Schizosaccharomyces pombe: one gene and its partners. Changing the gene in region 1 together with any one later gene gives a genetic interaction. Each region holds a gene or a part of one and is shown in the gene's direction. Other genes may lie near its edges. The genes, in order: oca2, cwf28, ins1 and rnh202.

Region 1 (9,869 bases):
CAATGGTGTGAGGATGGAGAAAAGTTATATGTTGGAAGCAGATGCAGTGATAAGATTGAAGTTTGGGATATACGGTATGTGCGCGACATGGTATATGCTCTTGAAGGGCATCGTGGCGATACGAACCAAAGGATTCTTTTCGACACTGATAAAAAGGATGAAATTTTGGCAGGTGGGACGGATGGAAGTATTCGTAGATGGAGAAACAAGGATCTTGTGGAAGAAACGCATGTGACGGGAAATTACGATTTGACGGTAAACACAGTACAAGCGAACCCTATAAACATGCAGATAAAGTGTGTATGTTATGGAAATAGAATTTACAAGTATGAGAAGGATGAAAGTGAAGAAGAGGATGAAAGTAAAGAGAAGGATCTTTGGACAGGAACGGTTTCGGCTTTACAGGTTTGGATGGATTGAAAAAGCAAAATTTGGAATGAATGAATACTTGAAAAAATAAAAAATGGTGAGCTTGAAGGAAGAACTTTATGAGGATGATTTGATTATTAATAGAAAAACATTAGAAAACCGGTTCTAAATTGGTGTATTGGTGAATGGGTGTTTTTTTCGCAATCAGGAGGAGTCCTCAGACATGTTGAGGGGTTTCATTATTTAGATTATGATAAATTAAAAAATAAAAGAGATGAATTTTATGCAAATAGTTGATTATAAGAGCGCAACAATCTTTGTATTAATAAAACTACACATTCGCTTATTAAATAACCTTAAACTCGGTTATACATGGATTTCCAAGTGTCGCAAGTAGAGGAGAAATGGAGAAAATGGAAAGCAAAGAATGGATGAAAATTGTAAATCAGCAGTTTCGAACTTTTCAAAAATTTGTTAAAAATATTAATTTTTCAATTTAATTGAATTTTGTTTTACAAGGTGGATACTATGGAGGAAAAAACAAGATATGTATGGAAAAGGTAGCGATCGCAAAGGAAAAAAAATATTAGAAAAGGAAATGGAATGAAATTAATTGAACGAAATGAAAAGGACATGAAAATAAACAGAAGTATAGAACAAGAAAAAAAAAATTTTTTTTTAAAATAACATAAGGATGGAAGTGATCCGGAGTGAATAAATAGAGGGAAATGAAAAAAATAAATAAATAAAAAATAAATAATAAAATAAAAAATATTTATATACACATACATATAGATTGGAAAAAGATGAAAGAAAAAAAATGAACCAACCAATCTATCAATAAGTAAATCAATTAATCAATAAATATATAAAAATAAAAATTCTAAAACCAAGAAAAAAAAAAGAAAAAGAAAAAAGATTGAAATCTTATAAACAAATCCTTCTACGCTGCATACAAACACGTTACCACAGTCTGGAGTACTGTTGGAGAGTGAACCGAGACAGCCGCGGGGCGGTCCTTCGGCGAAACCAACGAGACGTTAAATATTTGCGATAATATTGTATAGTGCAAGTATGATAAAGACCGGTAACAAAAGTATAGCGGAAATTGAAAACCAAGTGCAAAATCTTCCAACGAGCAAAAGGTGTTACCCAAGCACGTCAGATGCATCAACCGAAGCAAAAATGTTTAAACGCAGATGAAAAGCTTATTGGAAGAAAAGTAAATTTAAGGCCAACGATTGGAGGAAGGAAAAAGTTTGATGGGGCAGATCCATTATGTTACACCTTGACTTTGTCGGCAATCAAGTCAAGTCAAGTGCCGAGGGCGCGCCAAGGTGGGTAAAGAAAGAGACAAGAGCAATACCGTGACGATCGGAAAAACCATTACCGAGAAATAAGGAAGGCCGGTAAATGGAATGAAACGTGGAGCGGCCAAAGGAAGAGAGAGAGAGAGAGTAGGAAAGAGTGAGCGAAGAAGGTGTCTGTCTGTAATAAGAGGAAGAAAAAGATGAGATGAAAGATGGATAGAGAGAGAATTGTAAGACATTGATAGAAACATTGATGGATTGGAAAAGAAAAAGAAGAAAAATCAAAAAGATGTTGGCAATTGTTTTGAATTCTAGTCAAAGAGTGAATGTTATATGTTTTTATGCTTAAAAAACAAAAAAACCATTCGAATGTAAGAAATGGTTTGAAGCAATATAGCCAGCGAATAAAAAATAAAAAATAAAAAATAAAAGGAAAAACCGTTCGATTCAAAGCAAAGTACAAACAAAGCCACAAAAGGATCTTACTAATAACGAATGCTACAAAAAACTAGACCAACTAACTAAACAAGTAGCAAAGGGATATAAAGAGGTACAGCGAAGTCACTGAAAAGATGAAGATAACGAGATATACAGATGTCATTAAAAGAGTGGTATAACGAAATATAGTGATATCACAAACCCACAGAATTTTAGGGCTGGTAAGAAAAGTAAAGAGAAGAAAAACAAAACAAAAGAATAAAAAAAACAAAAAAACAAACAAAAGGAAAGGCTGATGTGCATATAGTCTCAAAAGTCAATCGAGTTTAGTTTTACTTTTTCATGAGCATCTAGCATTTGCTCTTGTTTTGTGTTCGGCCGTCTGACTGTTTGGATGAGGAAGAAGAAAATTTTGTAGGGCGGCCGTGAAAGAAAAGGAAACAAAGGAAAAATTAAAAGAAAATAAATAAAATCGAATTAAATTAAATTAAATTAAATTAAATTAAACGAAATAAAATAAAATAAAATAATAATAAAAATAAAAATAAAATAAAATTGTAATTGTAATTGTAATTGCATTTGCTTTTGCTTTTGCTCTAGAAATGCTCCAATGTCTTTCCCTCGTACTAGTGTCATTGTCAGGATGCTGGATGGGCGAGATGACAAACGAGGAATAGTGTGTGCAATAAACAGGAGAGAGAAAGGCAAGTGAGAAGCAACAAGAGTTGAATCAAACTGAATTGAATTGAACCAAATTATTATTCTTCTTATAATCAAATTATTATTCCTCTTTAATCAAATCACTATTCCTCTTTAATCAAATCACTATTCCTCTTTAATTAAATTCCCATTCCTCTTGCTTACTGCCGCTCTTTTTTTCCCCCTCCCCTTGTTTAGATTTGGGTTGCTGAAATTTTCTTTTCTTTTTTTCATCCTCCTCCTCCTCCTCCTCCTTACTTTATTTTGTGTTTAACTTTTTTTCCCTTCTTTCCTTCAACTTTAATAAACCCGATCATTCCTTCCGATTGATCCTCTGCCAAATTTCCACCAAACGGTCGGATCCAAATTCAATGGAAAAGGAAGCGACTGGCGGTCGCACGAAGCAATGACCATGGCAGATGGATGAAATGATAACATCAACGGAATTAATTTCCTGACAAATGATGATACAAAGTATTGAATGAAACATGTCAATCATCATTTACTTATCTACATTTCCCACACTCTAGTGAATTTCATACTTTAGCTAATTTCAACACTTTAGCTCTAGCTACTCTTCCACCTCTTTAATTTTTTCTTTAGCTCTCTCCATCTCTCTATCTCTTATAACAATCTCTTTTTTTATACGTTATTCATCTTTAACCTCTCCCTTTCATCCCATCTCAATTCCTCCTTCGACTCTCAATCGCCCCCCATCTACCTTCTTTCGCTCTCCTTCTCCCCAACGAGGTCGCGTTCCTCTTCGCTATTCCCCTCTACTCCCCTCTCTCGCCCCACACACCGCCTGTCTCGCTCACTCAACTCCCTTTCGCCCTCCCCCACGTCATCCCCCCTGCTTGCTAGCGTTTAGCCTTTCGTTCTTCCTCTCAGCGTTTAGCGCGGTGCAACGGATTGTGGAGTCGCTCGCCGGAGGTAACACGTTGTAGCCGAACTAAAAGTGACATCATACTTCGGCACTTGCATGGGTGGGATTCCCGGAGATCGTGTGGATTTGCTAGCTCCTCCATCCAATGCGACTCGGCAGTTGATGTAGAGCGGCCATTCGAGATTACATGGGAGATGCTGTAGTAGACTGCGTGTTTCGTATACATATATTATATACACCTGCCGTGCACCGCAATACTTTTTGCCTTTTCCCATCCACTTTTTTTCATAGTATTGTTGAGAGCCACATTGATTGATTCCTTTTTATCAAGGAATTGAACCTGTTTCTCGTCGTCTTTTTTTTTTTTTTTTAAACTAGCAAATAAAAAAATTCATTGTAAGATTTGAATTATACTAAAAAGCTCTACTTCACTCCCCCGTCAGTCATAGTCCAACAACTTTGACTCAACAAAGCAAAAGCAAAAGCAAATCAAACCATACGATACGATACGAAAAACGAAAGTTTTTTTTGTCCATTGCATTGCTTTGATTCCCTTTGGTCTATCTGCCTTTGATTTCTTTTCTGGGTAAAACAGGAATTGAAAGAATTTTGAGAAAGTAAACGAAAAAATAAAGATTGAATAAAGCATAAAGATCTTATTTCCCATCAAAACATTGTTGTTATTGTTGTGATTTCTTCTGAAAAACAACAAATCAATTTCCAACTTTTCTATTCATTTACGCTTTTTTCCAATTCCCTTAATTTTCCATCCATCCATCCATCCTCATTGAGTCGAATTCTTTCTACTCAATTTGCCATTCGTCCCTTCACCCTTCCTATTCCACTCCCTTCTTTCCGGCTTCTTCCGTTTCGTTATTTGGTGTGATCGGTATCCCGAAAGTGAGTGAGTGAGTGAATTGTGTGATTCTCTTTCCCCCTTGGTATTCTTCCTTCAATCAACATTCTTTCGAATTCCCTTTTTGGGTTGATTTGTTCTTTGTTGTTGTTTTTTTTGTTTTGTTTTGTTTTTACGTACGTTCTATTTTCTATGAATACATAGAATTTCCTGTTTCGTAATCTCAATTCATTTCTCATTTTTCATACTTTATTTGAACCCAAGGTTTTCACACTTTTTCTTTATCTTCTCTTTTTTTTTATTTCCTTTGTGTGCTTTTCTTAAAGCCTCTTTTTTTTCCTCTTTGTGTGTCGTGATCGATCGGATCGTCTCGTCGGCTCACTTTACCTTGAATTTCTCCCTTTGGAAAATATCTACTGATATACCTATAAAAAGGTTCCCCATTCCCAATTAATTCCAGTATTGTTTTTTTTCCCTCTTCCTTATTTCCTTTTTTTTTTGTTCTTGAAATCTCTCATTCCTTTGTCGTTGCGCCAAAGAATTTTCCATAAACAATAACCAATTCGTTGTTGTCAGCGCTCGATTTCCCATCAAAAAAAAGTTATCTTCTTAGGAAATACTTATTTCTTTTCTCTCTTCAACCCTTTTCTTACTTGGAATTTATTTATTTATATATTTATTTATTCATTCTTCCCTTGTCATCCGTTGTTTTAAAAAAAACTCGCTTGACATTTCCTCAATTTCCCATCTCGTCTGACAGTATCTCCGTTACAAACTAATATCTGTCAAAAATCTTTGATTTTTCTCTACTTTCTCTTTGACGTGTTTGTTTATTTCTTGTGTTCCCATTCACTCCGTCTTGAGATTGCCTCTTTGAATCGTACTTTCTTACGCAATTGTTTTGTGTCGTACTTGAAAACTTGTATTGTTAAATAGTTTAACAACTACATTCCTTTGAGTTCATTCAAGTTTCTCTTTTGTATTTTCCTTGTTGTATTCTGAAGTTTTCTGTCTTTTTTCTTCCCTGTTTTTTACCTTTTTACCAAACCTTCCACTTGTTGTTTGGTTCATTGTAAAACACTTTTTTCTCTAATCTTACCGGTGGTTTGCTCTTCAGTGAACTAGAATATTTCTTTTGTTTCTTTATTTTACAATTGCACATGATTGCCGTTACGAACATGTCTGTCACCCCTCCCAATGTACAGTTTAACCTTAATGGGGATAGCGATCATAAATCAGACAATTCCAGTTCCTCACTGGAAAATAAACTTGACACTGAATTAAAAATAACGAGTCCTCCTCGTAACCCTCCTCAGCGTTTGCATCCTGTCGACTTTTCTGAGCACGCTGATACGGACGATGATATGAATCATCCTCTTCCCAGAGTTCAATCCCCCGTCCATATAAAGAATCACATTGACCCTAAACTTGCCGAGGATCGTTATCGTTCATCTGCTGCACGTCACTTCGAACCTATTTCCATTCCCCCTTCCGCTATCACCTCTGAGGATGAAGATGATTATCATGGCTCTGCTAATTCTTCTACCGTCCTTCCCCCTCGTACTGAAAATGCTTTACATGCTGCTAGTCCTAAACCTTCAGGTTCGACTGGTTACACCTCTCCTGCTCTTTCACAAAACAGCGGCAGTGGTGGTGAAGGCGAATCTGATGAAGGCTCTTTTAACACTCAGCATCATCGCTCCCCCATTTTTCAGGCATACCCTTCTTCAGAAGACCTTGTCGGCGATCCCAACGATCCTTATCGACGCACCCGCCGTGCTCCTATTAAGACAAATCCACATGATATCCCTTCACAGTTCATTTTCAGAAAGTTGGGTCTTCATCATGGAAAGCATGGTCATCATGGACACTCTGGTAGTTTATCGTTGAAATCTCTTGTTCCTAATCATCATGACAAGCATGATAAGCATGACAAGCACGAAAAACATCATAGTTCTTTAGATCTTCGTCGCTTTTTCAAATCCCATCAAAAGACAGACAAGGAGAAAAAGCCATCTGTTTCCAAGTCAAAATCTTCCGCTAACCTCCAAGATGATCATTTCGGTCTTTTCAAAAAATACGGAAAATTTGGAAGAATGCTTGGCTCTGGTGCAGGCGGTTCTGTCCGTATTATGAAGCGATCTTCTGATGGTAAAATTTTCGCCGTCAAAGAATTCCGTGCAAGAAGGCCTACTGAAACCGAGCGTGAATATGCCAGAAAGGTTACTGCTGAGTTTTGTATTGGTAGTGCTTTGCACCATACCAATATTATTGAGACCCTTGATATTGTTGAGGAAAATAAAAAATTCTATGAAGTTATGGAATATGCTCCATACGATATGTTTTCCATCGTAATGAGTGGTAAGATGACAATGCCTGAAGTTTATTGTTGTTTCAAACAACTTCTCTCAGGTGTTGCCTATTTACATTCGATGGGTTTGGCGCATCGAGACTTGAAACTCGATAATTTGGTTGTGGATAGTAATTGCTTTGTTAAAATCATTGATTTTGGTAGCGCTGTCGTTTTCAAATACCCCTTTGAAGCCGATATCGTTGAGGCCACTGGTGTTGTCGGTTCGGATCCATACCTTGCACCAGAAACCTTGGTCCGGAAACTATATGATCCTCGTGCAGTGGATATCTGGTCCTCCGCCATTATTTTCTGTTGTATGGCTCTTCGCCGCTTTCCTTGGAAATATCCCAAGCTTTCAGACAATTCTTTCCGTTTGTTTTGTATGAAACAGCCTTCAAATGATGCTGAGTCTCCCAGTGATATACTTGCTGACATAAAAAAACAGCGCTTAGTCGAGCAAGGATGCGAACCTATTAGAAAAACCGATGAATCACATAGTCCAAACTCTAAAACTGATAACTCTTCAACTCATAAACAAGAGTTGTATGGACCCTGGAGACTTTTGCGCCTACTACCAAGAGAAACTCGTGCTGTTATAGCTCATATGTTGGAGTTGGATCCTGTTAAGCGTTACGACATTCACAGGGTCTTTGCAGACAATTGGATTAATGATATTTCGATGTGCCATATGGAAAATGGTAAAGTTATTCATTCTCCAACACATGTCCATAATTTGGTGGCTTCAGAAGAGTCACCTGCTCCACCTGCAAAGCATTAAAAACTTATATTGTCTTTCCCACGTTTGTTTACAAAGTCGCCTTGGATATTGGTGATCTGTTAAACGATACCAAAAAATGAATAATGTGGTGGCTTGTTAATGAGCTAATCTCTTAATCGTTGACGGTGTAACTTAGTTTTCTTTTCAGACTTTTTTTATGTTAAAAAATACTTTATTCTTTGATTATTAGGGACATTTCAATTTCTTACTATAATCTCCTCTATTTAATAGTCAGTCCCTTTTTTATCAGCTCAACTTTATGATTGTTGGTGATTTTTTTTTTCTTTCTTTGGTTATTATATTATTATTATTGTCTTTGTGAGGTTAGCTTGTTTATGAGTTATTTATATGGTAAATAGGGGAAATCTACTGTGGTAGATTAAAAATATCTCTACAATTTTGAAAATAAATGTAAAATTGTCGCATCTTTGAATTTGGTTTTCATTTTTTAGTAAGTTTAGATAATACAATACAATTCATTAGTCTCAAAATTTTCAAAGATCGTGTTTGAATATGATATTTTGTCCTTTTCAACCGTTGTCAAAGTTGTTGCAAATATTGAATATATGCAGTGTTTACTTCAACTGTATAATAATGGTAAAACACGTGTTCAAAAAATAAATGCCTAGGCATCCATGTGCCCTGAAGCAGCTAGTTTTTAAGCACTAGAGACAATTTCTTAAAGAAGTAGAACATATCTCATGCAAAGTTTTCGAAATCAAATTTAAGGAAGACGACATGAATACAACGGAATGTGTGTGCTATGTTCTAGCATCGCTGACAGGACAAATATATTTTAAACAAATATCCTATTTTCTATAGGAAAAGTAAAGAAATGTAAAAAAACAGTTAGATTTGTGTTTTATTAGGAAATACAAAATATTTATAGGATGGGTTCACGAACAAAAGGAAGAGATCCACTTTTTTCTCAAACAATAGATCTTAATGAGGTATATGTGTTATTAACGAAAGGGCTGAACAAGAATAAGGAGGGTTCATCTTGGATTAATTGCCAAATGCATAAATCAAATTAAACACATTACTCATAAACTAATGACTTAGTTAGCGTGTAATTGTTTCAATGCGAGATCTGACTATTCAAACAAAATAAAATAGCAACGATCGAGCAAGTTTCTTACCATATACTAAACTGTAGAACAATGTCCAAGTTAAAACATAAGAAGGTGCGCCATCTAATATTTTAGCGATCCAAAACTTATATCCGGGCTGGTAATACTTAGTTAAGTTACCACGCATTTTCAATGCAAAGAGTAGAAAGGAGACGAAGAAGTAACCGAGTACATACAGAGCAAGCCCTTCATATGAAGTTAAACCCAAAATACCAGCTGCGCACCCGAAAAAACTAGAAGTCAAGTTTCGAACAAAAGAAACGACCTTTGGATTCATTAGCACTCAATTATAAAATCCTTAAAAAAACTAGTACCAAGAAAATCTAGCTCTGCAATCATTTCTTACCTGTTCATTATATGCAACATTTTCTACAACAATTGGAGCGACGCCTTTATCCCTTTCCATATTAGCTTATGAACAATTCTGATGTTTAGTTGAGTTCACCGCTTGTAGAATTATAACCAAAAAATGATGGATAACGCATCTTTATACTGCGGTATTAACTACATAAGGACTTAGTAGGAACGTAATTTTTTCGCAGCTTGACGTATCCTTAAAAGCATTTTGCAAACTGCGTAATTGCCAATCTTTCATGTAAAGCTACAAGCGATATGGATATGGGAAAAAGCATTACTTTTTGCTTGGGCTGAATGTTGGCTAGTTTGGAGGGTGAAATAGTTTATTCAATACAATTGAGTACTTTATTTTTTTCCATTTGATTTTTTTGAACAGAAATGGGCTAATTACTAGGATATTGGGAAATCGCATTGTTTAAAAGAGGTTCTCGTTTTACATCAAGGTCGATTTTTCATATTTATTTGTTTTAGAAAAAAGTATCATCTTATATTTCCTGTATTACTGGTTTTCTAATTCTAAAACTTGAAAATGGTGGATGAAACGTTACATACTAGATTGTTTACAGTATACCGAAAGGATTAGAGACTCGTGAACATTCGTAAAAGCGACATGCTTATACTTCCAAGAGAACGAAAAGCGAATTTCATTTCTTATTTACAATAGAATAGTTATTCTCATCATTCAGTCACGAT
Region 2 (6,750 bases), on another chromosome or scaffold:
ACTTTGGTTTGGCGGAAGCTGACGCAAGTCTGCAAATTGTCGATACAATACATTTGGAGGTACCTTTTTTTTAGCACGAGCATCTGCAATTTCACGCATTTTTTCAGCCGGCTCAACCAGTGTTAGAGTGTTAATTTTTTTCCACTTGTAAAATGGGAAATTAGTACCTGGTCCACTCCCAACTTCTAATACATCACCCTTCGCATTTCGTAAGAGGAAATATCGAAGAAAATATATTCCAGAAAATATTTCCTCTCGCGTAATTTTTCTGCTATATTTATCAGCAATTTGATTATAAATTGAAATACTATTGCTGTTCGGAATTAATAAGTCTGACTTCTGTCGCGATTCATAATTGAGAACATCTTTCCTCAACCTCCAAGCTACCGCACCAATGTAGACACCTAGACCGTATATACCTCCTATAAAGATAGTTTTCTTTAATATGCCCATGTTTTTTAATATTTTTAAGTATTTTAATCGCTGAATGAATGAAATGAGAAAAACAAGATTTTAGCGGTTTGATATTAGAATATTTGAAATCGCTAAATTGACCCACACGCGCACTGCGAAAGGTACTAAACGGAAACCAATACAAAACTAAATCTCGAATACTGATTCAACGAACAAATAAAAAAACAATTAAGCTTAAAAAAATTGTTACCAAAGTAATTGATATCCCATTAATATAATATGGTAAAAAATCTTATAGTTAAAGGTAAACATTTAATGGCTTACTTCATCAGTTGATCAACTACCCAGTCGACTGATAATGTACGAAGATCACTGTAAGTTTGTCCAATGCCTACGAATATGATAGGTACCCTTACCGCGTATACCATGCCAACCATAACACCAACTAGCTGACCCACAGTATCAACTTTAGAAATAATAAAACCATCCAATGGGCGATGATAAAGGGAAGCTTGGAAATGTTTTGCTTGTGCTAAGGAATCTGTTCCTACTAATGCTTCTGCCACTTGAAAAATTTTATCCAGCTTAGTAGCTTTAGTAAACTGTTATGTTAGTTCAAAGTTCAAACAATTCTATCTTAGTAGAAGACTCAATACTTAATCAATTTTGTAAGTAATTACCTTTTCCAATGATCCCATAAGCCTTTGATCGTTATGTCTCCGGCCAGCAGTATCAATTAATATAACATCAAAACTATTTTGCTTGGCATACTCAACAGCGTTCTTAACAACAAAGCTCGAGTCTTTACCATATCCCTGTGCAAATAATTCAATGGAGCTACCCTTCAAACTTTGGAGATTTTTCACATGTACTCCGAGTTGTTCAATTGCACCCGAGCGAAAAGTATCGCAGGCAGCAACTAAGATTCGAAAGTTGTTAGATAAAAGCCAATACGCTATTTTAGCCAATGTTGTAGATTTTCCAACACCATTGACGCCAATGAGAGAAATGGTATACGGACGGTTTTCGTTTTTGCGTACAGAACGAATACTATGCAAAAGGTCCAAAGATGTACTTGGGGTGAGTATTTGAGTAAGCCTATCCCGAAAGGCCTTGTTTACTGTGTTTTTCACAGTATCAAACGAACCAACTTTTTTGTTTATCAACGAAGCCTTCACAGATTCACAAAGCTCCAGAGCTATAGAATTTGCGACATTCTTTTTTGTTAAATGTTCTTGCATTTGCTTTAAAATTGGACTAAGATCCTCCTCCTTCAAGTATTTCCCACCTATTAAGTTGGAGAAAAGGGAAAACGCAGAAGATGCAGATTTATTGGAAATTGTTTGATTGGGATCCATTTCCAAATCACTTATAATAACATCACCACTACCAGTCTTTTGAAACTTATTATTATTACCCACAATAGAAGAAAGTTGGGAATTATCGACTGTTTGGGAAGCAGAAGATGCTTGACTAGAATAGTTCAATGCAGCCTGTTCTTCCTCAGTTATTTGATCATCCCATTTTCTGAGTTGCTTCTTTCCTTTTTTAGGGGCATTTGTTTGCTTGGATTGAGCGCCTTTTTTCTTCATTTCATATTCATTTTTCTTTCTTGCTGAGTTATCATTATTAGCCTCAACAGGTAAAGATTTCGTGTCTGTTTCATTCTCCAGTTGTGCTGATTTACGATTAAAAATGGGAGCGAACAGTTTTTCAACTTCTGCTTCATTAGGAACTTGACGATCTTCTAATTTTTCTTTAAATAGATTCAGAAATATATTATGAGCACTATTAAGCAGTGATTGAGAATATGCCATACATTTCAAATCTTGAAACACAACCTAAAAATTCAACCGCGTTAATTAAGTTCAAATGACACGATAAAGGTATGGCTTTGACTTTGACAAATAATAGAAAATCAAAGATAAAGTATAAACAAAAAAATTTTTGGACCTCATTTTGGGTGTATAGTAATTGACAATTTCTGTCAAAGCACAAATCACAATATATTAAACTTACCACAAAAACTATGCTATATTGTGTAGCCTCTTGATACTGCATGGTGTACCGATCAAATGTTACGGTGTTGTTCACCGTTCTTTGCTCACTTAAGAAAGCTTCGTGAAATAAAACTTGAAGGCATTTCAAATTAACAAGAGAATTTGTTTTTTTCCAAAGTACTATGCCTCCTTTATTAACTATCGCAAACAAGTCAATCATTCCAGGCTCAATCACAAATGGCTTTAAAAGTAGTAAACTACTCACCAACTAAGAAGGAGTGTTCTTGATTAAACACATTGCTCACTGCCGTACAATACATAATAACGCACTATACCAAATCTATGGTGCTAATTGAGTTAAGCTATTTGCTTAAACATATTTTTCTTAACGTATTTTAAAGATTACCTTAAAACTTGTTGTATGCAATATTATACAAGGATAGATGCAATTTGAGACTAAAGGTTGATATTAACAGTAGGCTTTCGTTTCAACCAAAATTGTTTATACTTTTATATTAATAAAAAATGCCACTAAATAAAAAAGCTATTTTTTTACTGCTATTTGAAGGTGCGTTTTAAGTAAGGGAGAAATGAGCATGAATTCTGTAATCCAAATAAAGAGGTAAAGGGAGCACACACTATTCCATGTCTGGGCAACGAAAAATTCCTGAAAAGCTTCACAACTCTCATTGTACGAATGTGATTATTCTCAAGACTATTTTCACTGTAATTTTAAACTTTCCTTCCTACTTATAATCTGGCCGATTTTTGCCATTTTATTTTTTTTGTTCATTGTAATACGCTTAGTCGCAAACAAGTGAGTTATCATAATAACTCTGATGAAGCGAAAAGCCGTATTAGAAGCATTCAGCGATTCTGAGGATGAAGATGAAAAAAAATTAAAAGGTCCTCAACTTATTACTGGATTTAGCGCTGAAGAGGGAGTTCATTATCAGAATGAAACTATTCAGCGCATACACGAAAAGAAAAGAGCGCCAAAGATAATCCACATTGCAAGTGATGAGAACTGGATGGAAAAAAGAAAAGCCAGGTTTAAAAAAAAAGAAACAGAAGTTCATGAGAAACCTTCACAATTGCCAGATAGCGGCTTAAATTATGGTCTAAATATTCGGGTGGCTTCTTCATCAGCAGCGGATAATGAAATTGTGGACTGGAAGGCAAATAATTCAAATGAAAAGGCTCAAAATAAGATAGCCACAAATAAAGAAAGTACTGATATTCTTCCTGAAGAAGTCCAACTTGTCCTTAATGATTTAAATGACGATGTTAAAAGTGCTAATTCTGCCAACTTACAGCCGATTACCACTAATGTTGTTAACGAGAAAGATGCATATAGAAAAGACATTGACGAGCTTCCGGAGCCTTCTAATATGAAAGATTACTCGGAAATTCCGGTTGAAGAATTTGGCGCCGCCATGCTTCGAGGAATGGGTTGGAATGGTCAATTATCTTCTAAAGATGCTTTTGATGTTAATCAAAGGCCGACGTTTTTGGGTATGGGAGCCAAGCCTGTGGATTCCGAACTTACTGAGCTGGATATTTGGAAAAATCCAAAAAAGACTATGTTTCTTCCTGTTAAGCCTCTAGAATCAAATTCCGCTCTGAATTCACAAAACGAACATACTGAAGTACAGAAGAAGTCAAATTCCATTGACAACTTAACTCCCAGTTCAGAACTATTCAGAAAAAGAAGCCGAGATAACAACCTCTCAAGAGAGTCTTCAGTGAGCAGTAAACATTTAGATTATAATTCACGAAATTACAACAAACGCGATAGAGATCCAGACAGAACTAAGTATCGCGAATACCATTCGGAGCGCCGGAAACAACATCGAACAGACCGTTATTCAGATGATTACTATCAAGGAAGGAGTTATTCATATAAAAAACGTTCTCATAGAAGCGATAGATATACTGAGAGAGAAAATCCAGATAGAAGTTACAGAAGTACTCGTACACTTTAATGAATTTACGATTATCTTACTTTTTAAGTACCACAGTTACTAGAGTATCCTTTCCAAATAACCAAAAAATTGTTTATCAGTCATAAACGAAATAAAACATCTCATTATATTGCTCCGTAGTCCACATGAATAATAAAAATAGTAATCGAAGCTTTCAACCTTTATTCAAGAGCTTCGTGAAATGCTTTCCATTCATCGACGGTGAAAATTTCAGGAAACTCTGACTTAAATTGTACGAGCGACTTTAATAACTCGTTAGTATTTGCGACAGACACTTTATTTTTCTGGAATAAATAAAGTGTATGAAGAGATTTGGTAACACAATCCTCATCGACAGAATGTTCAAGACTGAATTGATAAACTTTTTCTGGAATCTGAAATTCGTGTGCCTTTTGAAGAATAATTTGTTTTGATTTATCTTCTTGAATAAGTAATGCATAGAAAAAAAAGATAACTCGTTTTGTCATAACCGAGTGTTTAAGCTCCAAGATTTCAATCAGCATTTCCCAAGAGTTTGGGATTTTATCTAATAAAGCAATTCCAGCTTCGTTAAGTTTAAGCTCACTAGTTATTGCATAAAGGACTTTATTTTTTGTTTCATCCGAATCCTCTTTTTTTAGGGCGCCGAAGAGAATCTTCAATCCATCATTTTCTATAAGCGCTTGTTGAGATTTAGGATTATTTTGAACGGCAGTTGCGATCGTCCAAGCAGCTAATCTGCGCAAGGTAGATTCCGGACTCTCAAGCTGTTTCAATAGGCGAGGCCACAATTGCAGGGGAACCAAATTATTTGCATTGTCAATATGCTCTACGAGCATTTCTAAGTTGTCAAAAGCTATCTCTTTCTGATCTAAAGGTACCGATGGATCCTCAATTGCGTCCATCGCTTTCCTCATTTCATCAGCTGGGTTTGCTCCAAAAATATGATCTAAAACTGAGGGATCAAGGTCTTTAGGATCAGGAGGAGAATTGGAAGAGTTTCCTTGAGCTTGCAACTGCGTACTGAAGGCCAAAAGTTTCTCCATTGTGTCAAGAATAAACAATAATAATACCTAAAAATTTGAACTTTTGAATAAAAATTTCGGTTTGGGTAGAAAATGCTTATTCAAATAAAAATTCAAAAAGAAAAAGTAGCAAAAGTTAGTAAAAATGGTAAGATACAAAAAAGTCTTAAAGCTTTAATGGGAACTTGCACTTATAAATGCGAAGTAGATTACTGCCTAGAGTATTCTAGCAAAATCCTAAATAAATATATTAGGGTTCGTTAAGCAACTTTTACGAAGGTATAAACTTCACATAATTAATCTTAACACAACTGTGCAGATCCTTAAGTTGCTTAGTAACGTGTTTGCAAGCTAAACTGAATGGATCATGTGTAGGAAAGCTGCGGATGAAATTTTAAGAAATATAAATGTACTACGCTGGAATATACGTATTAGTTGAGAAGTGGATCTTTGGAATAAAGAATAAAAGCTTTCTTCTCACTCTTAAAATATTTATAACACTATTTTAAGATTGAAGTACATGCTACTATTTTGAAGCATTTCAGTAAAGCTACTTTTAATTCTTTTCAGGCGATATTAATTATTGGTAGAAAAAAACAAACAGTGAGCAGTATGTATAATGTACTATTTCTTAGAACTGAAAATCAACAATTCATTTTTAAGCATCTGACTTTCAACCATTATTGTAAAAGAAGTAACACAACGCATTGTAGTCAATTAGTATAATCTAAGTTATTGGATCAATTATCATAACAGCTATAAAAAAAAATAACTACTAATGGGCTTTTGATAAAAATTTATCCATTCATTTCATTTATTATAAGAAAACATCAATTGATCAACATGATGCTTAAAATTGCAAAATCCAAAAAAAGTAAAACCATCGCTTTTAAATACTCAAAACCATAATTTTTTTTCTTTAATGTAAAAAAAGAACAAATTTAAGTAACCTTCATAAATCCAATGCATTTGTTGTAAGATACTGGTAAATAAGGGTAAGTTTTCTGACGAGTTTTATTATTTGTTTACATTTTGTATAACGCACACTAACGAAACAAATTAATTAACGTCGCGACGCGTCCCGTGTACCATACTGACCAAACCAAATAATTTTGCCAAGGGAAGAACCTTGAGAGGAGTGTCTCAACCTTTAGCAAACTCCATGTGAGTGGATTCTCACTTGAAAATTAAATGTCTGCTTTTACATAAGTTAAGCGTTACAGTGATAAAAACACTTTAATAGTATTGTTGTTACTAAGAACAATATATCTTTTTATGTGAAGTGAGTTTTCTTTTTATGATAATTTTATCTAAGACACTACTTCTTCCTTTCTTAACTTCATTTGT
Region 3 (7,165 bases), 340 kb from region 1:
ATTATGTTACAAGGTTTCCTTTTATATGTGCGGTTGTATAGAAATTTCATATCTATTGAATTCCGTTTTTACAGTCGAATAGATGAGGGTTTTCAATATGCGGAGTTTTGCGAAAAGCGATGATTCAAATTTACAATAACCACTAAAAGAAAATTGTTAAACAAGTAATAGATAATAAGTTTTCCATTCATTCGACATTTGCGGTTCTTGAGTTGTTGGCCTTATTTATCTAGTATCGTTTCAAAGCCATCAATTTAATAAGGCCATGGCATATAAGACAGAACAATTGTTCTTTGATTAATTCTTTACAAACTAAACTTTGATAATGATATGCTACAGAACTTTCAATAGCATTGTAATATTAACTTCTCTGACCAACCCAAGTTGAACTTGCAAAAAGCCATCCATTACTTACATCTTAATAGAAATGGCGATTACAAGTGAAAAAAAGAAAAATTTAAAGTCATTGGATAAAATTGACATAAAATTAGTAAGAAATTTTTTTTTTAATTTCAAATTATCGTGCAATTTACTTACAAATAATCAATAGCTAGAGAAAACAATTAGAGCCCTGCTGCAGCACATTCGATCCTCTGATAAACCTATTGAAAAAGAAAAGGTTTATATTCAGGTTAATACATTCCAACCCGTTGAGAAAGAGTCGCTTAGAAGACCATCAAAAGTGTAAGTGAGCATTAATGATGAATTAAGTTTCCTGAAGTAATAAGATCAACAATAAAATTTTTGTTCTTATAATTACTTAAAACCTTAAGCTTCTACTGCTTGTGCAGAAATAAAGAGGTATTACGGTTTTGTTGATTTGCTAATAAATCAAGCTTGTTGTAACATTCATAGAATCGATGCGTGTTCTTCATTAAAATTATAAGGTACTAACTATTTTACAGATTCCTTCCGCACAGGATAATGCATGTAACAGATGCTTGTTTGATTGTGAAAGATTCACAGCAGACATATCAAGATCTGGTGGAGCAACAAGGGCTTGACGAAGTCATTACAAAAGTACTTAGCATCCCGAGATTGAAATTAAAGTATAAAACAATCCGAGAAAAATGTGAGCTACGAGACTCTCACAACCTTTTTTTGGTTGATGATCGTGTATTAAAATACATCCCCCTATTGATGGGGAAAGTTTTTGAACAGAAAAAAATTAAGCCATTTCCTATTTCTGTTTTACAAAAGAAAGAGACTTTGCGTAATCAAGTTGCTCGTTGTCTTCATTCTACTTATCTTAAGTTATCTGCCGGCACTAGTCATACCATTCTCTGTGGTTTGGCCACTCAAACCAATGAACAATTGTTGGAGAATATTACGACTGTATTGAAGTGTCTGCTAACTAATTTCATTCCGAAAGGGTGGTCTGCAATTGATAATGTTGCGATTAAAACAGCTGACAGTGCCTCTCTGCCAATTTGGACTAGTGACACCAATCTTGCTGCTCATAAAAGACACATTGTGCACATTCAAGATGCAAGACCTCTTAAGAAAAGTGAACTGCGTGCTCAAAAACGGGGTTCTTCTGGAGAAGGCAAAGGGAATAAGTGAAACTGACTTTCGCTTTCCTAAATTGAAAAAAAAAAGTATTTTAAAATAATTACCATTTTTCTACTAAGGCTAGAAGAAAGAGTTTTGACAATGTATTTATAAACACCATTTGACTTTGCCTGTTTCAAATTTCTGATACATTTCTTTCCTTCGATGTTAATTAGTTATGTGAAAAAGCTTTGAGTGGCTGAAAGCAAAAGGGATTTACAAGGGCACGTCTTTTATAAACGGGTATTTTGGACTGAGTAATAAATAAGGGTTTTTGTGTATAACAAGTGTCATGGACTATTGTCATGATTTTGGAACAAAATCTACACCGTCTTGTGTTTTGTAGTATTATTTTTTTCTCGTAAATAACATGTTATATTTACATAATCTATCTGCTTATATGTAGCTTGTTCATTCAGAAGGATTTTAGTACCTTTAGATACTGAAAGTAGTATATAGAGCTATTCTCTACCACTCCAACGCTCAAGCAATTGACAACATCCAAACTTGTCCAAAGTAAAGAAAATTTAGTGTCAAAATGTTTTCTTGGAGTATTTTATTTATAGTTTGCTTTTCTTTAGTATCAGCATTTAAAGATACTTCGCCGATTTTCTTATTTTCTACGAACTCGTATGTCCTGCATCCATCGATGGCATTATACTGTGTAAATTATTTAATCTAACTAAAAACAGCAAACTCCCCAAATCATCCGATGATTCTTCAATATCCACTTGCCCTATGATGTTTTTTGACGCCGCAATTGAGGCACTTTCGACATGCAATACAGCTACCTTAATTATACATCAACCAGGCCTTGAGGTTAATGATTTTCAGTTGGGAGCTTTTAAACATTTAAAGCGTGTTTCTTTGCAATCACCCTATAGCTTACTTCTTCCTTATTCCAAGGAGTCTTTGGACTCACAAGAGTTGGTGCATTCGGCAAAGCAAAACTGCGACGTTGAGGTAGTTTACTTGGGTGGATCCTTTAATGCTTTTCCTCCTCTTCAAAATGATCGCATAACTGTTGTTTACATGAATGAACTGTCAAATGAAAGTTATCATAGAAGTGCACAATTAATGGAATTGGATGAAATGTTCTACAACTTACAATCTACCTTGGAACAAGATGCTCAGTGGAATGTAATTATAGCCTCTTCTCCTTTGAATAACTCAGATTTTGAAGGATTTAAGGTTGATGCTAACGAAGAAGAGGCCAATGCTGAATTTGTAATTCAAACGCTAGGTGGTCTCAACTCAGGGAAGAGTGCTCTTCAACACGGCCAATTGGCTTCTTTACCTGATCAAAATGAGGGATCACAAACCACGCTTGCTATGCACCAAACAAGGAAGCACCCTGTCACCGACAATGGTGCGACGGGACTGTTTACCGAATATCAATTTTTTACTCCTGGTTTGTACATGGGTTATTTGGCATTGGCTGTATTGGTTCCAACTTTGTTTATTTCTTGCCGTTTACTTTCCTCTATTCAAATCAGCTATCACGCTTTTGATAGTCCTCGACGCAAACAGTTATAAACCTCTTCTTAAGGTGAATAAGCTGAAGAAGTTTCAATTTATTTCTTTCTTTCATAATTGATACATCTCACACTTAATTTAGAAGAAAATTATTGTCATAAATGGTTCTTGATAAGTATAGTTTGGTGACATTTTTACCTTTCAGCGCAATTCCTTAGGTGTCCAAATGGTTAGAATGATCTTTGTTTTTTAATATATTGAAGTCTATTAAATAGTTTTTTGGACTGAAGAATTTATTTCTTGTGATGAGACAAACTTTATAACCATAATATTGTTTTTTCTTTATGATGATTCTCTACGGAAGGTGAAAGTTGTTGGCATCATGTAGTCAGCATAACTTTGTTTTGCTTTTTGTATTCTATTCAATTAATATTTTTGTTTTGCGGTTTTAAAAATAGTAGATGAATTTGCTATACTTTGAATAAACTAGAGAAACCACTTTAGGCATACAGACTCAATTATGAAATTTCCTTAATTATTTAAAGCAATTTCTTCGTGGCTGATTGTTTCGTAGAATGAGTGTTTGCGAGAGTTTTTTCCTTGGATATTTTCGTTATTAGTTAACATTGTCATTACTTATGGCATGCATCTTCAAGTGATCAAAGCACAATATACCTTAACAATAAGAGTAATATGGATGCAGAAAAGTTTTGAGTATATTTCTATAATTTAGAAAGGTCAAATTCACATATAAAAGTGATTGTAAATATTTATTCATTTCAGATCTCTCTTACTTGAGATCTTTGTTACTCAAAATTGTTACTTGTCACTGGGCTATGCGTGTTTTGTGCAATGTCTCGATTCTGCCAAGTACCTAAACGTAAAGATTGATTCTTCTCCATCCATTTAGTCAGTTTCACAAGGATCTCTACAGAAAGGTGCCGTAAGCTTGAATAAAATGAGCAGAAAAGAGATTTACGAACCCCGTCCGCGCTACCCAGATGGTTATAATGGAAATCGAGCGGTCAAGAAGTCCTTGTCGGTACTTTCTTTGGACAATATGAAATCGACACTATCAGGGCTTTTTGCTCCACTTAAATTAGATGAAGAGCAGGCAGAAGATGATGAATCCCTGAGTAGTTATGAAGATTACGCGTCTAGACAGATCGATGATGATTTAAAGAAACAGAGAAAGAAAGGGATAACATTTATAGACTATTCATCTTTAATAACTTTTTTTTGTAAGCTTTGTGTTATATTTGGATTAGGGTTTGTGTTTACTTATTTGGCTGAACAAATTGTGCAAGATGCAAAGCTACCACTTCTGACGGTCAATCTCAAAAGTTGGAAATTTGAGCCCCCATGGCCTGCAATTTTTGGCTTCGTTGCTGTCATACTTGGACTCTCTTATCGACGTATGGATACGAAGTATCCTTTGGGAGCTGCCCCTTTACGCCCTTCACAATCGTCTAAATGGCAATGGATTTCTCGGTATCTTGCTGCTTTCGCTACATTGCTACTTTCTATGAAGGTAAGTTTTACATTATACGAGGCGTTCCTTTAAATAAAAAAGTGAAATATATATGCAAGATGTATGGAGTTACAGCAATTATCTATGCGTAACGACTTCTTGATATAGTTTATTCATCACCATAAATAAGTTGTGCTGTTTTCTGAGAATTTAAGTTTGATAGTAAACCCTCTTTGCCAATGCTTACTATGCATCGTGAATATACTCTTGCTAACTTATCTCTAGAAATTACTATTTATTTCGAATTCACACTCCATTGTTGCACTCGTTGCGAGTTCTGCTAGCATTTGGTATATATTTGATCGCTCAAGAAACGGTATTATTTTGTCGACAATTACTTCTGTGTTGGGGAGTATCTTATATTATAATTTGGTTGATACCTCAAAAATGTATGTTAGTTGTTATCCATCAACTGCCTACCAAAGGCTGCTCCAGTATTTTCAAACATTCGTTTATCAGCTAACAAATTTAGTGAGTTAAATGGAGTTGAATTCCCTGAAATTCAGTTTCGTTTATGGATTCCTATGATACTTTTCTCCGCTTCTACGATTGTTGGTAACGCTGGTCGTCTACTATTTTAATTTATTCTCTAGGAGTTGGTTGTTTGTGCTTTACGTTCTCTTTTTAGCCTTAGACTTCATTATCCAAAACAACCGGGTTAAACTTGTTTTGCTAAATGTTTTCCTACTTCGCATCTGGGCACTTATTTGGTTTTTCTGTATTCGATTATCCTTTTGTACCTTCTCGTCTCATTCATCGTTGTGTGCGAATCGGTTTTCTATCATGTACCAACAATCTTTTCATGTTAGTATTTTCTATTATGATTCCTAATATTCCTCATGTAGTTTATAATTATGTCTTTGTTCTAAAACATTCATCTACAAGTTTTCCTTTCTCAAGCCATTTATTCTTGCTTCTCTTCAGCAACATTGGTAGTGTAATATGCAACGGTATCTTTGGATAACGATTTTACTAAATTTCGCTATAAGAGCTACTGTGGCGCGTAATATGAATTGGCCTACCTTACACAAACATCCACAGAGATCCTATAAACTTTGTGTTTGGCCAAACGGATGTTTGACAGAGCTTTTTTACTTGTTATTAGCCTTATGAACGTATTTATTTGAAGACTGATCAAGTTTTACTTGAGTTTTTGAATATTGTTATAATTTACAAAGTAACGTCGCGCGACATACTTTTCCAATTATAAGCTGAATTACGGTTCAAATACTTTACAATAGAAAGCTCTTCATCCCGGCGATATTATTTCTTTTTACATAACGTTTTTTTTTTCATAATTTGTCAAGGCTCATTATTGGAATAAATTACACTTATCGAGTTGTTACCAAATTTTTGATTTTGATTTAGTGCACAGGTTTTTAATATCTCTTGATTTTTTTTTTTTTTTACTTTATAGCTCTTTTTTGTTTTGATCGAATGCCTGGGATTTGCTACTTGGATTCAATATTAATCAGCCATGGATTTTAATACCTCTACGCGGTCGAAATCTCAACCCGTTCAAAGGAATAATTACAAAGTTTTATACGATCCAGAATTAGGAATCAAGGAGAACCTTGGTCGCAAAATTATATATCGGTTTAATGGTGTTTCAAAACCACCTTTAGTAGTTCGCGACCCTAGACTTAAAAATCCAATATATGCCCGCGGTATTCCTAAAAGTGGAAGGCCATTTTTAAAATCTTTGCAAACTATAAATTATGACTACAATGAGAATTCATTAGGTCCAGAACCTCCAACTCAGGTTTTTGTTTCTAACATCTCACCGCTCGTGACTTCTGAACAGCTCCGATATCATTTTAAATCATTTGGGGAAGTTTTCGATTTAGACTTAAAGTTAAACCCTTATACAGGTACTTCTTTAGGGTTGTGCTGTATATCTTTTGACAAGCGTAGTTCCATTTCTGTAGCAGCACATTCAGCGAAAATTGCTGTACAACAAGCAAATGGCTTGAGGTTTTCCGGTAAGCCTCTTTCAGTAGTCCTTGATCGGGATGGTTCATTATGCGAAGAAGCGTTCAAGAAAGCTTTAAATGCTGTTGAAAAGCAATTTCAAGAAGAAACTTTACAGAAACAGAGATTCGAGCGGGAAGATGAATCTTCGCGGCAAAAGTTATCTGCAGCTATGAATGAAGATATTCCTCCTTGGCGTCAACCATCGAAAAATTCACAAACATTGAGCAATGGAGACTTGCAACATTCTAAAGTTCAGAACGTGGACCAGAAATCAGGTTTTCTTACGTCAAGCGAGACTGATGTTCCAAAAAATATTAATGATTATATTTATTTACTAATTGACGATCGCTTTGTCCCTCCAGATCGTGTGTATTATACTGATATAAAGCATCATTTTCGAAAATTTTTGTATGAAAAGATATACATGAACAAAGACGGGTTTTATATAACTTTTAATAATTATCGCGAAGCGAGCAATTGTTACCGTGCGCTGGATCGTACATACGTACAAAATTGTCGCATAAAATTGAAATTTCATGACATTCCTTCACGTACAAAGGAAGATGGAAAAAAGAGCGCAGTACGAAGAGTTGTTTTACCTCCCGAGGAAGCGTACGCTGAAGCAACCTCAGT
Region 4 (7,693 bases), on another chromosome or scaffold:
ATACCACTTTTCTTCCAAAAATTATTTACATTTGTCAAATCATCATCCGAAGTTAAAAGCAGCCTATCTTGATCATATTTTGGGAGATCATGTCTTAGGCTGGTTTCGGAATTGTCTTCAAACTGTAAAATTTTTGAAGAAATCACTTTGGAAATCGCCAAGGTACTTGGATTGTCATATTTCGATGCTTCTATTTTGTTGTAATGAGACACGTTGGCATAAACTATATCCGACATGATATTTTAGTTCCTTTTATATTGTTAATGAACGGTGAAGTCTTGCTAATAGGAATATTAAAAAAAAAGATAATCAAGGACTATCTTTAAATGGTTATGACTGAAAATTTATGTCACAAGGTACCACGATTATGAAAGATTAGCACAATTTCCCTTTTTATGATTAATATAACTAAAACTTATTAAGCGAGAATTTGTTTAGAACTATTATTGGATGTTAGACAGAAAAGAGCCTGTTAATATAGAAACTTCAGTAGCTTCTTATTTTAACTAAATTATTGTATTCGACAGATTAGGATTCCTGTGACCGTCCTTTTGCTTTTGTATAACGCTCATTTTTGTATTACCCTAATACCCGAATTTTGTAAATAAGCTTGGACTTTTTATATACTACTGGAAACCGCTGCGCATAATTTAAGAAGCTAAATTGGGTTTCGTTCCAACACACTATTTGCATTGAATTGTAAAGTATTGTTTACATGAATCGTTTTGAGTAAATCCCTAGGTAGGGTGTTAAATGAAGCAATTAAGCATGATTCAAGATATTCGTTAAAAAGTACGAATCATTTGGCCTAAATTGTTAGTCTAGCTGACTTGCTGCATGGCTCTCAAAGTGGCCCGCAAGAAAGGCTCCATAAATTGCTCAGATCACTGTAAGTATTTACTGTTAAGTAAAAATACAAAAAGGAGCTTCGCTAATGAAACAGTAATTTGGAAGTTGATCTATTCATGTCACAAAAAATGCGGTAGCAATGTAATAATGTTATAACCCATTTTGAGACTTACACCGAAAGAATGTACACGAGGAAGATTCATTCATCAATGGTTTAAATAACACATCAACCACCTTTGAGGTACTTGCAAGCAAGGAAGGTCATATTCGTTCGCTTTTAGTTACTTCACTAATTTTCAACTAATGTACTTCACGTTTTTCATTACTTTACAATCAACGTAGTAGAACATGTAGACTTAGTCTTGTTCACCATTATACACTCTTTATGTATAACGTCCGCAACCAGTTTTTTTTCATTAAAAAAAAAAAAATTCGATGTGATAAACAGTTAGTATAGTCAATCTAGCAATTATTAAGATGAGAAAATACTCAATGTCTATTTTATTAGTTTATTAAGGATATCTATACTTTGGCTTTTCAATTTAACCAATGCTGTTTTTTTTTGGTACTTGAAGCCGCAAGCTTTCTATTCAATTCACTACCGTGGTTTACCATTGAATTTCTCATAACTAAGATTGCCGCTCTTGACTTCAACATCGACTGTTATATTTCTTTTTTAAGAATATGCATTTCATTTTTTTGTACTGCTTTCTTATAAAGATGGAGTTCTTGACTAACAACGTGTCTTGAACAGACAACAAAAAGTCGGTACGAATCTCCTCTTACTTCAGCCATCTTTTATATCAACTTCATGATTATCTTAAGAGGAACAATCAATTTTATATGCTTAATTTCTTTCGTATATGTACAACTAGAGTCGTCACTGTTTTAAATTTTGATATACCCAAATCGTTGTCAATACTTTTACAAAATACTCATCTTTAGCTGAAAGTTACACAACGAAATCTTTCTAATTAAAAAATTGTGTTTGCAAGTACTCAGAGTTGTTTTCAATTGATATCTTTGCATTTTTTACTTTTGTTGCAAATAGTGGTACGAAGTTTCAGACGTGATTGCCTCACAAATTTTGGGGTTTCATAATTTAAACTTAAAAAATGCAGGGAAAGATATTCATACTACCCAAAGATTCTACAAATCAACAATTTGTTGAACTCTCACATCCCTTGACCGGGAGACCACTTCGTTATTTATTAACAAACGATCACCTTTTACAAATCCTTCAAGTTGGGGATTCTTCAAAACAAAGGTCTTGGTTTGTAGGGGATCATGTAGTATCGGACGGATATCTCTATGTTTGCACCCCGATAGACTTACTCGCGCTTGTGCTTCCAATCATTCAGGAACTTACTTGGAGTCGCCGGAAAGAACCGAATCGATATGTCTCGTTTGAAGACTTCATTGAACACTTTGATAATATGGGTCCTCATTATCCACGAGTGTCAGAAGTCCTCTCTCCGAATTTGTTGAACACATTACATCGGATTTGTAAAGTAAACGAGCCAGTAGGATCTTTGCCCAAGACCTTTCAACTGGATGAATCTTCTGTTGTTAAAATTTTACTAAGGAAAGCCAAGGTTGCTCAAGAAAATCTTCCCCCTAGTATTGTAACCGAACTTAAAAAACAGTTAGCGCCTTTGGACCTCCGCACGCCGCTTCCACAAGATTTACTAGAATTGTCATGCAAGTGGCATGCCGCTTCATTGGTTTGTGAAGATCTTCAACCTGAATGGTATAACAAATTAGCCTACTGGCAGGAAGAATTGGCCCCACTGCACGCTTACACTAAAAACTTAGAAGAATCAAGAAAGATTTTGGTAGAAAAGGAAGCTTTGTTAAATTCTAAAAAACGTCCACAAAACAGTGATATTACATCAAGTCTTTTAAAAAAGCCCAATCGGAAGCAGGCCACCAAGAAGTCCAAATACTTCTCAGGAGAAGGAATGACGAAAATATCTTCATTCTTTACAAAAAAGTAAGATCACCGAGGTATGATTTTGCTTTTATTTTTTTCTTAGCATAGTACCCTTAATTTTTTTGGCATGTTTACAAGATATTGTCAATTGCTGTAAAAGTGGAATTCTTCTTTCTTGAGCAATGTTTCAAGAAAGCCAATAAGAGCGGTAATGTTGAAGTTCACCAATACTTTCAAGAATATCCGACAATGCGCGATGATCACCCTTTTTATCATAAGCAGGAATATCCGGGCACCAGCGTTTGGCTAATTCCTTAATAGTAGAAACATCGATAATTCTGTAATGCAAATGTTCGATTATCTTTGGCATCTCGACAGATAAAAACCTTACGTCTGCATGGACACTGTTTCCAGCGATTAACGCTTCTCGTTTTTTTGGAATGTATTTTTTAATGTATGCTAACAACTGGTTTTCAACGTCTTTCACTGTTAAATTACTCTGTCTACATCTTTCCGTAAGACCACTTTTCCCATGTTGCTGTTTATTAGTATAATTAGAAAATTGACATCCGTGAATGAACTAAAAGCAAGAAAAGATACCTCAATACACCAGTCATTCATTTCACTCAATTGCTTTTCGTCGAGTTTAATAACAGCATCAAATTTCTACGCCTTAGTTAGTATGACAGCCTTAATAAACGCTCAACTTCGAAACCATGCATTTGTTTCTCTTGAAACATCTCAAGTTAAAAGCCGATGTTTCAATGTTCACAATTAAAAGTTACCTCTTCAACGGGGCGAAGATTTCCATCAGTAATGATTGCCGCGACCTCCATCAATACATGCTTTCCCACCTCTAACCCGGTCATCTCTTCAATCATATTAGTACAAGTTACCTATAAAACCATCGTAATGCATTTTAAAAGCTAAGATTATACTAAAGCTCACTAACCGCAATCAATCCAAACAAGGGGCTGCTTTAAATTCGACATTTTGAGGTTGGAGAATGGACTTTTCAATTTTGAGATGAAATCTTTATATTAGTAAAAGTTTAAAAACTGAGGTACACATCGACAAAAAGAAACTTAAACATGTAAATTGTAGAAATGATAACTTGATAGACTGAATCTAAACATACTCGTATTCGTTGATAAGTCTTGCTGGAAAATGGGTTTGGAAATTTGACAAATATTTTTGCGATATGTTGGCTGCAAGAAGCGCGAATGCAACGAGCTAGTGCGTTTGCTATACAAGCGTTTTTTAATGTGATATGACTGCAAAATGATTCTATTATTTAAGAATGCACCTTGCATATGAAAATACGGTATTATTACTTAATGAAAGTACTTCGTTGTAAGTTGGATTTTAATATCCGGGATTTTTTAAAATTAAAAACTTAGCTATCGATTGATTTTTGCAATGAAAACTAGTAATAGTATGTTTATTTAAACGTTTTGAAACAGTGTTTGTATTCCAAAGACAGCATTACCTAACCCCTTAATCAGGCAGGAATAGAGGGAAGTGATGCACATGACACTTCCGTAACTAAAGCACCACTAAAAACATCCGTTCCAACACCATCCACCTCTTTTCTCAATAACGGCTTGAATAGTTGTAATTTCAAGGTTTGTATAGGAGATCTTTGTGATTCAATCTAATTCATAAAAGTATTTAAACAGGAATCGCTTACAACCTAGTTTTTTGCATTCGATAGCGGAAAACGGAGACATCATATTTGACAAATCTCCAGCACAAATCGTTCAAAGATAATGAGTGGACAAAACAATGTAGTCGGTGTCCACTACAAAGTTGGAAGAAGAATTGGCGAAGGCTCGTTTGGTGTTATTTTTGAAGGGACGAATTTGTTGAATAATCAACAAGTAGCCATTAAATTTGTAAGTGAGAATCCATTTGATGCCATGCTTTGAAGCTGGATATTTTTCTTGTTTCCTTCATTACTGATTGATTTTGCTTATAGGAACCAAGACGCAGTGATGCTCCTCAATTACGTGATGAATACCGTACTTACAAGTTGCTGGCAGGATGTACGGGTATTCCGAATGTTTATTATTTTGGCCAAGAAGGGTTACATAACATTTTGGTGATTGACCTTCTTGGGCCAAGTTTAGAAGATTTGCTCGATCTCTGCGGCCGTAAATTTAGTGTAAAAACAGTTGCTATGGCCGCAAAACAGATGTTGGCAAGAGTGCAATCTATCCATGAGAAGAGTCTCGTTTATCGAGACATTAAGCCTGATAATTTTTTGATCGGTCGACCAAACAGTAAAAATGCTAATATGATCTACGTAGTAGACTTTGGCATGGTAAAATTTTATCGTGATCCAGTTACCAAACAGCACATACCTTACCGGGAGAAAAAGAACCTCTCGGGTACTGCTCGTTACATGTCTATTAATACTCATTTGGGTCGGGAGCAATCCCGTCGAGACGATTTGGAAGCCTTGGGTCATGTATTCATGTATTTTCTTAGAGGTAGCCTACCTTGGCAAGGATTGAAGGCTGCCACCAATAAGCAAAAATATGAACGAATTGGTGAGAAAAAGCAAAGTACCCCGTTACGCGAGTTGTGTGCTGGTTTCCCGGAAGAATTCTACAAGTATATGCATTATGCTCGTAATTTGGCATTCGATGCTACTCCAGATTATGATTATTTGCAAGGCCTATTTTCGAAAGTCCTAGAGCGATTAAATACTACTGAGGATGAAAATTTTGACTGGAATCTATTGAATAACGGTAAAGGTTGGCAAAGCTTGAAGTCGCGAAACGCAGAGACAGAAAATCAACGTTCAAGCAAACCACCAGCACCCAAATTGGAATCAAAGTCACCAGCCCTGCAAAATCATGCAAGTACTCAGAACGTAGTTTCCAAACGCTCTGATTATGAAAAGCCTTTTGCCGAGCCGCATCTGAATTCTGCAAGCGATTCTGCTGAACCCAATCAAAATTCTTTACCTAATCCGCCAACGGAGACGAAAGCTACCACAACTGTGCCTGATCGTTCCGGTTTAGCAACTAATCAACCAGCACCCGTTGATGTTCATGATTCTTCTGAAGAACGGGTTACCCGAGAGCAAGTACAAAATGCTACGAAAGAAACAGAAGCACCTAAAAAGAAAAAATCATTTTGGGCCAGTATTCTTTCTTGTTGTTCTGGCTCCAATGAAGACACATGAATAATATGTTCTACTAGTATTTAGGAATTTCTTGATTATTTTGTTCTTCAGACTGGTATGGATAATCAGGCTTTCAGTTGACAAAAGTGTTTTTGTGATTTATTTTTTGTGCCGTAACGATTTTCTGTGCTTCATTCATTTAATTATACACTTTCTTTTCATTTTATTTCTTTGTCCAAATCCTTCTTCTTAGAATTGCTAGCAGGGTTAACTTTTGCATTTTTTCTTCCTTCCCGGTAATCTATCCTTTTTTATAAATCTGTAAAATGTACGTTTGAAATAATTACTTTTCTTTAGGCTTCTTCGCGTATTGTCAAACTGGAGGTTACTTATTGTGATTAAAGCAATGATATCTTATATTTGCACAGGTTCTTTGCTTTTATGTTTTTTTCCGTTTATAATCTTTGTCTCGTTCAACATTTTGTCTTTTGATCACTTCCGATGATATTATGCGTTCCTTGAGCATAAAGGTCGTTGAATACTGCTTGTCAGTCTATTTTTAGTTATTTGGACTCTCGTACATATGTGTAGAGGTTTGAACACCCACATCTATCTATCTATATTATATATATTATGTGTATATGTATTTACGTGTACATAGATATTATATTATTATTTATCATCCTTACTCTGCCTCAAATGACTAAAGGCATACTTACCCTCTGAAATAATGAGTAGTTGGTTTTTGGAACTAAAAAATTTAGTAATAAAATTAGCATGTAAAAATATTTCGAAATATTGCTACCAACAATTCCACCCGATATTCGTTGAAACAAATATAAAATTATCAACTATTTGGACTATTTAAATAACCTATGTGGATCCTTGAAATGGATTAATTGTATTAATAAAAATATTTTCATATAGTAACTTTTATGACATTTCTAAACAATGTTAAATTAAATTTATGGTTTCGATAACCACGGCGATGAGTATACCGAGGCGTTGCAAACTTGTCCTGGATTTCTTCAAGAAAATCTTTCTACATAATACCATTCCCTTGTTAAAGTGAGCTAAACTCCAACTCGCTTCCTAAACATAGTTAATGCATTTCAATCTTTTTCATTTTATATTAGGATTTTTAGTTTGCATTCAAGCAGTTGTATCTGCTGCTGACTACTATCAAGTAAGTGCATGTGATCGTAGGATTGAGAAGAAAATTAAAGAAAAATGTTCACTAACAACTTCTCTCAAAAACAGATCCTTGGAGTCAGTAAAGATGCATCTGAATCTGAGATTCGCAAAGCATATAGACAATTGACGAAACAATGGCACCCTGACAAAAATCCGTAAGTTAAACAAGCATGCAAACAAATGAAAGCCTAAAGCTAATAAATGTTCTAGAGGTAATGAAGAAGCACAGGAGAAGTTTATTGAAATTAACAAGGCCCATGAAGTCCTTTCTGATCCTGAGCAACGTAAGATTTATGATGCTTATGGAGAAGAAGGATTAAACGGTCAACCTGGTGGTCCTGGTGGTGGTCCAGGTGAAGGATTCCCAGGTGGAGGTTTCGGATTTGATCCATTTGGTGATATATTCGATAACATATTTGGCGGACGTAGACGTCAAAATGCCGTTCGCAGAGGACCTAGCATGGAGCAAATAGTTCAAATTCATCTTTCATCTTTTTACACCGGAGGCAGTTTTACCTTGGAAATTCCGGTGAAGAGAACTTGCAGTGTTTGTAGTGGTCAGGGCTTTAATCCTAAATACTCCG

The links.
Region 2: mutations in oca2 (region 1) and cwf28 together harm fitness more than expected from each alone (negative genetic interaction), as found in Schizosaccharomyces pombe (one large-scale study listed by BioGRID).
Region 3: mutations in oca2 (region 1) and ins1 together harm fitness more than expected from each alone (negative genetic interaction), as found in Schizosaccharomyces pombe (one large-scale study listed by BioGRID).
Region 4: mutations in oca2 (region 1) and rnh202 together harm fitness less than expected from each alone (positive genetic interaction), as found in Schizosaccharomyces pombe (one large-scale study listed by BioGRID).

Annotation. Positions count from the first base shown.
Region 1 is NC_003421.2:756,721-766,589, reverse strand, and holds oca2 (serine/threonine protein kinase Oca2), read left to right. Parts: upstream 1-3,965; 5' UTR 3,966-5,736; coding exon 5,737-7,689; 3' UTR 7,690-8,222; downstream 8,223-9,869. Other genes in the region: heterotrimeric G protein beta subunit Gnr1 , read left to right, coding at 1-420; protein Emc6, read right to left, coding at 8,729-8,739, 8,829-9,084, 9,166-9,225. UniProt on the Schizosaccharomyces pombe protein: Overexpression causes cell cycle arrest.
Region 2 is NC_003423.3:3,989,341-3,996,090, reverse strand, and holds cwf28 (splicing factor Cwf28), read left to right. Parts: upstream 1-3,105; 5' UTR 3,106-3,253; coding exon 3,254-4,399; 3' UTR 4,400-4,479; downstream 4,480-6,750. Other genes in the region: oms1 (methyltransferase), read right to left, coding at 1-453; signal recognition particle receptor alpha subunit Srp101, read right to left, coding at 735-1,016, 1,095-2,255, 2,434-2,634; fes1 (Hsp70 nucleotide exchange factor), read right to left, coding at 4,561-5,424. UniProt on the Schizosaccharomyces pombe protein: Involved in spliceosome maturation and the first step of pre-mRNA splicing.
Region 3 is NC_003421.2:414,398-421,562, reverse strand, and holds ins1 (INSIG domain protein), read left to right. Parts: upstream 1-3,895; 5' UTR 3,896-3,985; coding exon 3,986-4,558; intron 4,559-4,764; exon of another isoform or gene 4,765-4,783; coding exon 4,784-4,947; exon of another isoform or gene 4,948-5,030; coding exon 5,031-5,139; 3' UTR 5,140-5,406; downstream 5,407-7,165. Other genes in the region: SPOM_SPCC306.07C (U3 snoRNP-associated Cic1/Utp30 family protein), read left to right, coding at 428-490, 551-684, 906-1,563; family protein BIG1, read left to right, coding at 2,090-2,181, 2,244-3,087; histone H3-K4 methyltransferase Set1, read left to right, coding at 6,036-7,165.
Region 4 is NC_003423.3:4,069,993-4,077,685, reverse strand, and holds rnh202 (ribonuclease H2 complex subunit), read left to right. Parts: upstream 1-1,590; 5' UTR 1,591-1,964; coding exon 1,965-2,846; 3' UTR 2,847-2,969; coding exon of another isoform or gene 2,970-3,320; 3' UTR 3,321-3,382; coding exon of another isoform or gene 3,383-3,448; 3' UTR 3,449-3,567; coding exon of another isoform or gene 3,568-3,653; 3' UTR 3,654-3,734; coding exon of another isoform or gene 3,735-3,815; 3' UTR 3,816-3,920; downstream 3,921-7,693. Other genes in the region: SPOM_SPBC1347.09 (hexaprenyldihydroxybenzoate methyltransferase), read right to left, coding at 1-236; rex2 (RNA exonuclease), read right to left, coding at 2,970-3,320, 3,383-3,448, 3,568-3,653, 3,735-3,815, 3,921-4,095; serine/threonine protein kinase (CK1 family) Cki1, read left to right, coding at 4,552-4,677, 4,761-5,975; DNAJ domain-containing protein Scj1, read left to right, coding at 7,021-7,101, 7,176-7,264, 7,320-7,693.